3 linked regions of the Xenopus tropicalis genome follow. The protein of the gene in region 2 interacts with the protein of the main gene of each other region in a pairwise test. Links are inferred from orthologs where the notes say so. Each region holds a gene or a part of one and is shown on either strand. Other genes may lie near its edges. The genes, in order: pnrc2, dcp1a and rita1.

Region 1 (3,754 bases), on a different chromosome or scaffold from region 2:
TGTACAGTTGTCAGGACATACATCCTAGTCTGTATCTAAAATAGTTTACCTTAACATTTATATCAGTGAAAAGAAACTAGACATAGCATAAAATGAAAATTATCAAGGGTGTACAATTTACTATATAAGGGGATTATAAATTTATTGACTGTGCCAGAGACGATCATAAGGAGCATACTGTTCTATCATGATGCTTTAAGTTTGGGGGCAAACAGGCCTGTTATTGGCACTACAGAGAGACATCCTACATCCACCCCTCTGGCTTCTGCCAGAATCTACACATTGCCAATCTGGGCCTGGGGGAAAACAGCTAAGCACAGACTTATTAGACAAGAGACAGTACTCTTCTAGTAACCTTATGACTTCAGGAACAATGTAGCAGAAGCCGGCTCCTCAACCAGAACTGGAAGAGAATTTACCTGATTTATTTTATTATGTACATATTTTAGGGCAATTAATCATAACTACGTCATTGTCGCTCACAGGATAGCCATGAAAGTAGTACATACAAAGCTAGAACAGAACTGGGCTGTAACATATCCTGGGAAAGGTCGACTTTCGTGGTATCTTACGTGGTCTCAAAGCCTTCAGCTCTTTCTGGGGGTCTATTACTGCCACTACACTGCCAAGCCGAGACTGATACGCAGAGCATCAAAGAACTTCCCCCGCACTCAGCTACATACAGTTCCTGCCCTAAGGAAGCACACTATATTCCAGGCTCTCGCCCGGACTTAACCAAGACACAGACCTATTGCAGTGACCCCCCTCCATGAAATATTCATATACATCTCAGCGTTATTTTCGACGAGACATTCGAAAGCAACTGCTCTGTATAACAGCATTCTCACTTCATTTTATTAACACTGGAATTTGTAAATTGAAATCACTAGAGAGACTAAAACTGGTAGTTATTTTCTTTACACCGGATGTCGCAACAAACCTGCAACTTTGTTCGTTGGTGACGCCATTGTTTTGCTTCCCATCCCCCTCACAATAACAAGACTAGAGATGGAAACACGGGGGAGGGGAAAGGATCCGAGCAGAAGTCTGACTCCGCACTGCAACAGGCTCGCGTTGAAATTCTCGTCTTTACATTGGCTGTCCCGCGGACGCCCAACCTCTCATTGGCTGTGGCGCTACGGGGGCGGCGCTAGTGTTCCATTTTGTGAAGGATCTAGGAAGGTCGGGTTGTGAGTTGCGATTTGGAGGCGAAGGGTGGAAGTAGGAGGAAAGATTCGCAAGTCTGAGAGTTTTGCGGTTTATCTGAATTTTGCTTCGTTTCTTCACTCTCCGCTACGTTCAGTGGGGAGAGGAGACATTTCTCGAAAAGAAGTCTCGGTGAGTATTTTGGTGTGTTTTCCTTCTCTGGTGGGAGCTCCTCCCCTCCTGGCGCCATGTTCTTTCTTTCTCGGACCCGTTCCTTTGTTACCTTCCTGCCAAGTTTTACAAAACCTGTAAACTTCTAAAAGTAGTTTATCACGGCAAACCCCTTTCCGCGATATATATCTACCCCTAATCGCGATTATTGGTGCTGTGGGCTGATACTTTGTCTATGGTTAGATGTTTTAAAACTGGGGCTCGTAAGCAATGGCTGCCGTTGCGCAACGCTATGTCGTACTTACGGACTGATTATGGTAGTCGTTTGGTGGAGGTGTAATATCTTATTTTTACTTCATGAACTACACCAGCTCTATTGTCAGGGGGTATTGGGAGTTAAAGCTGGGGGGGGGGTGCAGCTGGGTAGTGACTTCACCCCCTTTGTCCCTCTTTGGTTTCGCCCATCAAGCCTCTTATCCCGGTCCATATGTTTGTTTTTATCATTATCATTGTGGGTTTACAGGGCGCTGTGAGCTCTTCTGGGGCTTTCAGTTTATCATAACAATGTGGGCTTCATTTTTATAATGTTCTCTCTCGCTGTGTAAAAACAAAAAATAGTTCTTGCATCTAAAATAGGTCAGGGCATATGGTGGGCATTGCCATTTCTGTAATCTTACATTTACCACCCAGGCCCTTACTGATCAAGCTAATTTACCCCCCCCCCAGAAACTGTCCACAAATACAATGGATTTGTAAAGCATAGAACACCTTTATCAAGGATACATTTATTGATAATGATTTCTTGATGTGGGTGTAATGGGATTCTTGGTAAATAAGTATATACTTTTGGCTGCCTGTTATTTATGGGTTACTGTGAATAACTTTATTTTATTATTTTTTTTTTTTTTTTACAGTTTAGAGGACTTCTTCCATTGTAATCCCCGGTTGCCTTGTGCCCAGGGGGATTCGATGTTTGTTTTGGATCTTGATAATCACATGCTTAAGAAAACTAGCAGATTAAAGAAGGCAACACAAAGAGGGGAGCGAGCCTTGTTAGTTCGGAGACCTGGAAAGGCAGAGAAGGGGTGTGAGGAATCAGTGGGAAGGTGAGCAATCTTTCTAGCAAACAAAATGGAATCAAGTCTGTTATTTGTATAGGTATCAGTAATGTAGCATTCTAGCCTAAATAAACATGTTCAAAACCGACTGAGCAGACATAATTGACTTCAAAAGGGGATGCACCTTTCATTTGTTAAATATAGGTAGTATGTTCAATGTAAAAAGTCTGCACGTTCTCTACGTATTTATGTGGTTTCTTTGAAGAGGGGATCCTATTTACAGGGATGTTTTGTTTTAAGTATAAGCTGGCATTGCTTATCTAAATAAACAAGACATTTAATGTACTTAAGTTTTGGCATATTTAGATATATTTAAAAGGTAGTGGTTGCAAACTTTTCCATGTTGGTACCTAGCAATCCCCTCCCTTTCACGAGAAAGGAAACTAAAATCTGAAATCTAATTGCTCTAAAATTAATCAGTACTGTAGATTGTGTTTGGGTGCCCTGAAGCTGCCAAATTAGTATTTTCTGTTTTGTAGAGAAGAGCTTTTTAATGGTGTTTCAGTTGGCATTTAATGGCATGACATTTAAGGTTTTACTATGTAATATACCATTTTTGTTTTAGGTGACATAAAAGTTGGAGATGGGTGGAGGCGAGAGATTTAACATTCCTGGTCAGCATAGAAATAACCTTGGCAAACAGATTAACCGTCAGAAGTTGTTAGAGCGCAACAATCAAAAGATGAACACGTCTCTCAGTAAGGACAGGGTCCGTGGCTGTGGGACATCTCTTGCATGGCAGGCCATGCAGAATGGAGTTAACAACAATAACACTCGTTCCTCGAATCAAAACTGGAGTGCTGGGTTTCCAGCCTCCAAGAACTTCTTCACCGATCAAGACAACCAGAATTACGCTGGAGCCAAATTTAGTGAACCACCATCACCGAGTGTACTTCCCAAGCCACCAAGCCACTGGGTGCTCCTTTCCTGCAGTCCAGCTGAGAAAGAGCTGATGTCCTTTCAGCTGAAAACCTTGCTAAAGGTCCAGGCCTAATTTGGACCTACCAAAACCATCAATGATAAATAAATGCCTATGGGACACTTACAGGGTTCTAGGTTGAAGAATGCCAAACAGTGTGTTAAACATGAGATCTTACTTGACTATGCCAGCATGGAATGGATCGTTTTTTTTTCCTAAAATCCCTCAGGAGTTAAACTGAATGGTGGGTGAAGCTTCCGTGAAGAGGACTCCCGCATACGAAGCACTTTCTCCACAGCATAGCTGGTGCTTGATGCACTGAATTTACAACTTGCACCCAAATTAATGTTATACAACACTTTGCACTTGAAGTAAGCAGGTGAACAGCTTCAGGACTTGG
Region 2 (3,654 bases):
TCAGGCCGTGCCTCGTATATGGGCACAAAGGGCATTTAGCTTGGGGCAGAACTGTGCCGATAACCCCAATATCTGCCACTCCCAGGTTACACCTCTCACAATGTTCTGTGCATCTCTGTATTGCTGAGGTGTAACACTGCCCCCTAGTGGCGCTCAGCACTAATGCCTCTGATCTCCTGTGCTTTCAGGCCGTGCCTCGTATATGGGCACAAAGGGCATTTAGCTTGGGGCAGAACTGTGCCGATAACCCCAATATCTGCCACTCCCAGGTTACACCTCTCACAATGTTCTGTGCATCTCTGTATTGCTGAGGTGTAACACTGCCCCCTAGTGGCGCTCAGCACTAATGCCTCTGATCTCCTGTGCTTTCAGGCCGTGCCTCGTATATGGGCACAAAGGGCATTTAGCTTGGGGCAGAACTGTGCCGATAACCCCAATATCTGCCACTCCCAGGTTACACCTCTCACAATGTTCTGTGCATCTCTGTATTGCTGAGGTGTAACACTGCCCCCTAGTGGCGCTCAGCACTAATGCCTCTGATCTCCTGTGCTTTCAGGCCGTACACAAACATCTCACAGTTGAAGAACTATTTGGAACCTCGGTAACGAAAGAGCAGCCGGCGGCCAATTGTTACCCCAGTTTGGAGCCAAGCGACAGGCGCCCCCAATTGTATGCCCCCGCCTCCTGCGAGCAGCCATCGCCAGTGGTGGTGAAGGCAGCTTGTGCTTCTTTCAATGCCGTTGCCAGTGACTTTAGCCACCCTGCGTGTGTGGCGCCCACAGTATTTGCCCAAGGCCCGGGCCAACGGCCGCCATCACAGGCAGTGGCAAACCTAATCAGTTTAAGCCCCAGTCTGGGTATAGCAACTGCCCCAGAAGGGCTGATAAGTGCCATTCAATCTGCCCCTGGGCAGGTCTCACCCCTCCTGAGCCAACCTGTACCAGAATGGCACCTCCTGCCCCCACTGGCACCAGTCAGCTCCAGCAGTGTTGTTAACTCTTCCCATTCCGGGGCTGATCTTCTCCACAAGCTGAAGCTGATTCCGCACACAGACCAGGTCCAAACGCAGCCCTTAAGCAAAGCCTCCATTGCCCCAAAATTCTCTTCTGCCCTGGGCCAGCTGGCTACACCCGAGAGCTTTAAAGGAGGCATAATGAAGCCTGTTCCAAGCACCGGCCTAGTTATGGCGCCTCTTCAGGTAACTCCAGGAATTACAGCTGTCTTTCTGCAACTTGTCCTTTAATTGTCTTTCCTGGGTGCCAATGAAATGTTTGGGGTCATTAGCACCAAATTAAGGGGCTGCACCAATATTGATCCTTTGTGAGAAAATACATTCTGCCTAAACTATTGATTAACAATGTAATTTGTTTTACTTTCATATTACTGAAATGTAACTTCACTAGCGATAGTGAGCTCTATATAAACAGCCCCCTTCCTTCACAGGGGTCAGTAAGAAATAACAAAAACCATAGATTTTATGTGATAAAAACCATGAGTAGAGAGAAGCACGAGCCCAGTTCACTGCACTCATATTGATCAAGGGGGAGTGCTGCCCCTTTATATGCACCCCAGTCAAAAAAAAAATATACATACGCAGTTTGGTCATTTCCCTATGGGACCAAACTGTAAATTATATCCTTATAAATGGTGTCTAGTGTATAAAACTTGAATATTATAATATAGTACCCCCTGTTGTAAAATATGAGAATATTAAAAGTCACCTCGGAGTTACATGACCTGTATAAAAGCACGAGGCCGAAGGCTTTGTTCCTTTATATGGTCATGTAACTCCTGTGACTTATAATATCCTTATATTGTACAATAGGGGGTACTTTATTCACTATATATTATAAGGAACTCCTCGGGGACTTATAATATCCCTATATGTTACAATAGGGGGTACTTTATTCACTATATATTATAAGGAACTCCTCGGGGGCTTATAATATCCCTATATGTTACAATAGGGGGCACTTTATTCACTATATATTATAAGGAACTCCTCGGGGGCTTATAATATCCCTATATGTTACAATAGGGGGCACTTTATTCACTATATATTATAAGGAACTCCTCGGGGACTTATAATATCCCTATATGTTACAATAGGGGGTACTTTATTCACTATATATTATAAGGAACTCCTCGGGGGCTTATAATATCCCTATATGTTACAATAGGGGGTACTTTATTCACTATATATTATAAGGAACCCCTCGGGGACTTATAATATCCCTATATGTTACAATAGGGGGCACTTTATTCACTATATATTATAAGGAACCCCTCGGGGGCTTATAATATCCCTATATGTTACAATAGGGGGCACTTTATTCACTATATATTATAAGGAACTCCTCGGGGGCTTATAATATCCCTATATGTTACAATAGGGGGCACTTTATTCACTATATATTATAAGGAACTCCTCGGGGGCTTATAATATCCCTATATGTTACAATAGGGGGCACTTTATTCACTATATATTATAAGGAACTCCTCGGGGGCTTATAATATCCCTATATGTTACAATAGGGGGCACTTTATTCACTATATATTATAAGGAACCCCTCGGGGGCTTATAATATCCCTATATGTTACAATAGGGGGCACTTTATTCACTATATATTATAAGGAACCCCTCGGGGACTTATAATATCCCTATATGTTACAATAGGGGGCACTTTATTCACTATATATTCCCATTTGCTCTCTTTTAAATGACTTTCAGTTAGACATTATGTCTAGGGGCCGCTATAGGACAGTTCAGTTAATACATGGGATTTTGCTGATCATGTGACTGGGGCAGATATACAGTTGATTCCTTCTTTCGCTCTCTCTCTCCCCCCCACAGAATGTACTTGACAAGAAAGAATGTGAGGTTCTTCCCCAGCCCAAGTGCTTACCCAAGGTGGTATCGGTAAGTGCCGTGCCCATTGGCTTCCATTTTATCTCAAGTTTGGTGTCTGTCAGGGCAAATTGCTGCCAACATGGAGGCAGCCTGGCACCGTTTCCATGCCTACTACTTTCAGAGCTGATTAAAAGGGGTTTCAGGCCATAGTGCGTTTCATTAATACTTTCATGCACGCCCTGTAACATTTCCCATGAAGCACTGCTGATCAACACACCCAGAAGCTTTTCCACATAGATTCCTGTTGGTGGGCCAGTCTGAGCCCTATAGGTTTTATACTTAGATGCAAGGGTAACTACACCTGTGGCTCATATCCTTCTTCTTATCCAAAGGCAACTCCATATGTAGCTCAAATGAGCACAGTTGGTCCCTCAGTCCTCATGTCGCCCAGTGTCTTCCATCAGTCGGTCCAAGAAGAAAAGGCCAGAATGTCGCCCATTGACTCAGCGCTGTCTGATCCTTCAAAGTTTGTCCTGAGTAGATCCCAGCTCCAAGAAACACTAATCCATCTCATAAAGGTAAGCTCTCTGCCAAAGCTGCAGTTATACAGGGAACTGAGTATCACTCATGTATTATAAGGGATACTGTACCCCCTACTGTAAATGATAAGGATATTAGCAGTCACTGAGGGGTTCTGTGCCCCCCATATAAAGGCACAAGGCTGCAGGCTGAGTTATACAGGGAACTCTGAGTATCACTCATGTATTATAAGGGATAATGTACCCCCTACTGTAAATGATAAG
Region 3 (3,754 bases), on a different chromosome or scaffold from region 2:
GCTTCGAAAAATGCGCAACTTTCGTAATGGCTACGAAAAACTCGCGTTTTTACGCGCAAATCGTATTGGTAACGAAAAATTCGTAAAGAATCCGAAAAAATCGCAAAATACTGATCATTACGAAAAAAACGCAATCGGACTCATTTCGACCCGTTCGTGGGTAAGTAAATCAGCCCCTAAGCCTGCCTGATTTACCTTACGACTTTCTGTTGCCGATCCTTCGCTTGCCTGACTCTGATTTTCAATACTGCAGTAATTATTCTCTAATTTATTAGGAAATGGGGTTAACACCTAATCATGCATGGGAAAAAAAAAATACCGTCAAATACCGTGACACCGATATAATTTTGAAAAATACCGTGGTATAAATTTTTGGTCATACCGCCCAGCTCTACTTTAACGTTTCAGTTTTCCAATTAATATATACTGGAAGTTCCTCAGCACCCTGTGCTTAGGGGGTTAGGAAAGAAATGAGCTTGAAATATATATCATGATAATAAAAGTGATACTGGTGTTGACTTTTGTCAAGTAATACTGCTCGGTAAAACATAATATCAGTGACTTATATAGCACCAGAAAACTACAAAGCACTTTCCCCTCACAGAATCTATTAACCCTACAGTGCCCTGAAAGATTTCTGCGGCACTCAATTGCAAAATTACTCTGAGTACAGATGGTAACTTAGTTGCTTGAATCCTGAGAAACTAATTTCGAACATGCGAGCTACAATTGCCAGTTCGCACTTACTACTCCATCCTCCTTTTGGGGTGCAGCTTTGACACGAAATCCCACTGTGTCGCTTTCGTCGCTCTCTTGGTTTTGACAGCATTTCCGAGATCGCTGTCCCTTACGTTTTTTCTGAGCCATTTCCGCAATTCTAAGACTATATCTATATCGTCTTTAAAATAGCTCAGTTTAACCCCAGACCATCAGCGATCCTCTGAATGTACGAGCACGTCTATCCCCCACGTGTCTCACAGACACCCGGAAGGGATTGAGTACAACTTCCTGGAATGTACCACTTGGTGTCAGTGAACAGGGGACGGTGTGTTGCTATCGCACTTCTGTTGCCAGCTCTCTGCTGCCACATTTCTGCACTGCAAAACGGATGAGGAGCTGAAATACAGAAATGCGATACACTGTGTAACCTCTGTCCCTGCTCTCGGGTTTGGGTGAGTCCGAGTTGTAATGTGTATCATTACCATGGGAGCTGGGCAGAGCGTGTTACACACAGTTGTCTCTAGCTGCCTGTATAGCTGCCTGTATAGCTGCCTGTATAGCTGCATGTATACACTCATCTCGTCGGCTGAAAGAGGCTGCCTGCAGCAAGTCTATCGACTGCATGTGCCTAACATGATGCCAATGGTATAAACGTTTTGCCATCAGGTAATACTTCAAGTCATAAAGTTACATTTTTAAAAGTTATGGTTATATTCATTGATACATACTCATTTTCTACTCAGTTCTCAAAATTCCCCGCCCAGTTCACTAGTGTAGCCTTTTATTTTCTGGAGATTAGCCAAGTGTTTTGTATTCAGAAACTGCAACTTGTGTGACAGAACTCTAGCCAAATGTTGTTTGGCATTGGTTGAAAATCCTATAAGGCAAGGACTGCATTAAAACATTTGATTGGACAAGGTTGCTTAAAGAATATTTGCATGTATTGATTTGTATTGCTGTTTTTTGAGTTATAGTTTCCTGTACTGACATTTAGTCAGGCTTATGGGGTAGTGTGCTACAGCTTTGGTCAAATGGTTAAGCTAAATTGCACAATTAGACCTAACATCCAACTGGAATGGCAGCGGAGGCAAGTACTTCATAGGGCTTACGTAAGTCCGCAAGTGCAGCTGCGGTCCCTGCACTTTCCCTCCCAGTCAGTTGCATGGAAAACCACTTTCATTAAAGGAGAATGCAAGTCAAAATTTAAAAAGCATACTGCCCAAAGTCCTCCTATTGTTTAGTAAAAACGCCACACTTTTGGCTCACCTAATCAAATATTTACTCAGTCACACTTACTTCACATTTTCTAGAACAGGCAGCCATCTCTAAAAAGGTATTCTCCCTTCCTTTCCCTCCTTGCTTCATACTGCACATGTGTTTCATTCCCTCCCCCCTCCCCTCTGCCAGATCCGCTTCTGATTGGCTGGTGGGTATGTGTAGCTCAGAACAGGAGACAGGATTAGGTTGTACACATGCTCAGAGAATAGGAAGGAGAGAGATTTCAGAGATGTCACTGTAGGCTTCACACTGCTGTAGGCTGCCAGCACCATATCTCAGAGAAGCAAGCAGGGATCTGGGAATTTAGATATGCAGTAAGTACTTAAAAAAAAATGCCTTTAGACTTACTTTTAATTTATATTAACCTTTCATTGTCCTTTAAAGGTACTTGTGTCAAAATGCACTCCTTGCACTTTAGTAACGCTTGGCAACACTTGGCCCTTCCTGCCTTCCGTTTAGAACTGAGCGCTGCTGTACCTATTGACACAGGGGTAGCCTACCAAGCGGTAGCTTTAGATCTCCCTCAGTGCCTAGTGCTGGATTTCTGATTAGGGTGCCCATAGGCTGCCCCCATTCTCCAGCCTCCCCCCCCCCCACAGGATTGCGTGCATGCCCGTCCTTTTAGCTTACATACGGAGCACTGGGGACGGTAATAGCTGCAGTTTTCTGCATGTCCCGTCCTTAGTGCTCCACATGTGAGCAACATCTACATGTGGCTGGCCGGAATGCCGCCCCTAAATTTATGCCACCCTAGGTCTGGGTCTTTGTGGCCTTGCCCAAATCTGGCCCTGTCAGTGCCCTACATCAATCACCACAGTTTAGTTTCAGTAGGAGTATAGGGCAAACGCATCACAACACCAGGTAGACTTTGAAAAATTCTGTGCAGTGCTCCCAATTTGCTGCAAAGCACATGGCAAGTTCTGTCAGTTTTGCCAAATCAGATACAATTAAAAGGGTTGTTCACCTTTGTACAACATTCACAAATGTAACAGATCACATTAATAGAACAATCTTTTCCATATAGAAAGATAACAAAAAATTTGCAACTGAAGATATTTTCTAAAGAGAGCATTGTTGGTGGTTTAATAAGATTTGGACATTGGAGGTGAACAATCCTTTTAAGGTAGCCACAGTGCAATTGCGTCAAGAGCATCACTCCTTTGCTATCACAACGATGCCTAAATTCTGGGATAAAAATGCATGTTCTGCTGTCTATGTCTTTTATCTGCTTATACATGATACAGGATATATATGATATATAGACAAGTGAACATAAATAGATGATCATTATTAGTATATGAAAACAATGCATTTTTTGTATAGTATGTTTAAATAAATGTTGTATTTATTAAGTTATTCTATATTTTTAGGAGACATCTAAACAAGTATCAGTTTAGGCCTGCTTCTGAAATGTCTCTGGATCTCTCTATAACTGGGCATCGCACTGCACTTCCACAGCGCAAAAGCAGAAGCGCTTACCGGTTCAAAGCTGCCAACTCCTATGTTGACGAGACTCTGTTTGGTACCTCTGGGGTAAGAGTGGATCAAACTGTAAAGTGGAACACTGCACCACCTTGTCAGACACCCCTTCTGTGGAGCCCAGGAGAAATACAAAACAACAAAAACACCTTAAGCTGTAGGCCTAAAAGCACTCCACCAGGGACTCCCAGGAAAAAGATTCAGTACAGGTACTTTTGGACCGTTGCTAATTATTGATCCTGAAAAGGAGTGATGTTTCTAATATTCTCCTCTAATC

Evidence for each region.
Region 1: the proteins of dcp1a (region 2) and pnrc2 interact in binary tests that used the Homo sapiens proteins (3 or more experiments, as listed by UniProt). The link is inferred for Xenopus tropicalis from reciprocal best matches to the Homo sapiens genes DCP1A and PNRC2.
Region 3: the proteins of dcp1a (region 2) and rita1 interact in binary tests that used the Homo sapiens proteins (3 or more experiments, as listed by UniProt). The two-hybrid records come from large-scale screens. The link is inferred for Xenopus tropicalis from reciprocal best matches to the Homo sapiens genes DCP1A and RITA1.

Annotation. Positions count from the first base shown.
Region 1 is NC_030678.2:80,603,735-80,607,488, forward strand, and holds the start of pnrc2 (proline-rich nuclear receptor coactivator 2), read left to right. Parts: upstream 1-1,190; 5' UTR 1,191-1,338; intron 1,339-2,231; 5' UTR 2,232-2,423; intron 2,424-3,000; 5' UTR 3,001-3,018; coding exon 3,019-3,429; 3' UTR 3,430-3,754. UniProt on the Homo sapiens protein: Involved in nonsense-mediated mRNA decay (NMD) by acting as a bridge between the mRNA decapping complex and the NMD machinery. May act by targeting the NMD machinery to the P-body and recruiting the decapping machinery to aberrant mRNAs.
Region 2 is NC_030680.2:150,743,500-150,747,153, forward strand, and holds part of dcp1a (mRNA-decapping enzyme 1A), read left to right. Parts: intron 1-556; coding exon 557-1,198; intron 1,199-2,854; coding exon 2,855-2,920; intron 2,921-3,243; coding exon 3,244-3,429; intron 3,430-3,654. UniProt on the Homo sapiens protein: Necessary for the degradation of mRNAs, both in normal mRNA turnover and in nonsense-mediated mRNA decay. Removes the 7-methyl guanine cap structure from mRNA molecules, yielding a 5'-phosphorylated mRNA fragment and 7m-GDP.
Region 3 is NC_030677.2:145,154,931-145,158,684, forward strand, and holds the start of rita1 (RBPJ-interacting and tubulin-associated protein 1), read left to right. Parts: upstream 1-1,115; 5' UTR 1,116-1,386; intron 1,387-2,016; coding exon of another isoform or gene 2,017-2,043; exon of another isoform or gene 2,044-2,048; intron 2,049-3,368; 5' UTR 3,369-3,408; coding exon 3,409-3,686; intron 3,687-3,754. Other genes in the region: ATP-dependent RNA helicase DDX54, read right to left, coding at 748-867. UniProt on the Homo sapiens protein: Tubulin-binding protein that acts as a negative regulator of Notch signaling pathway.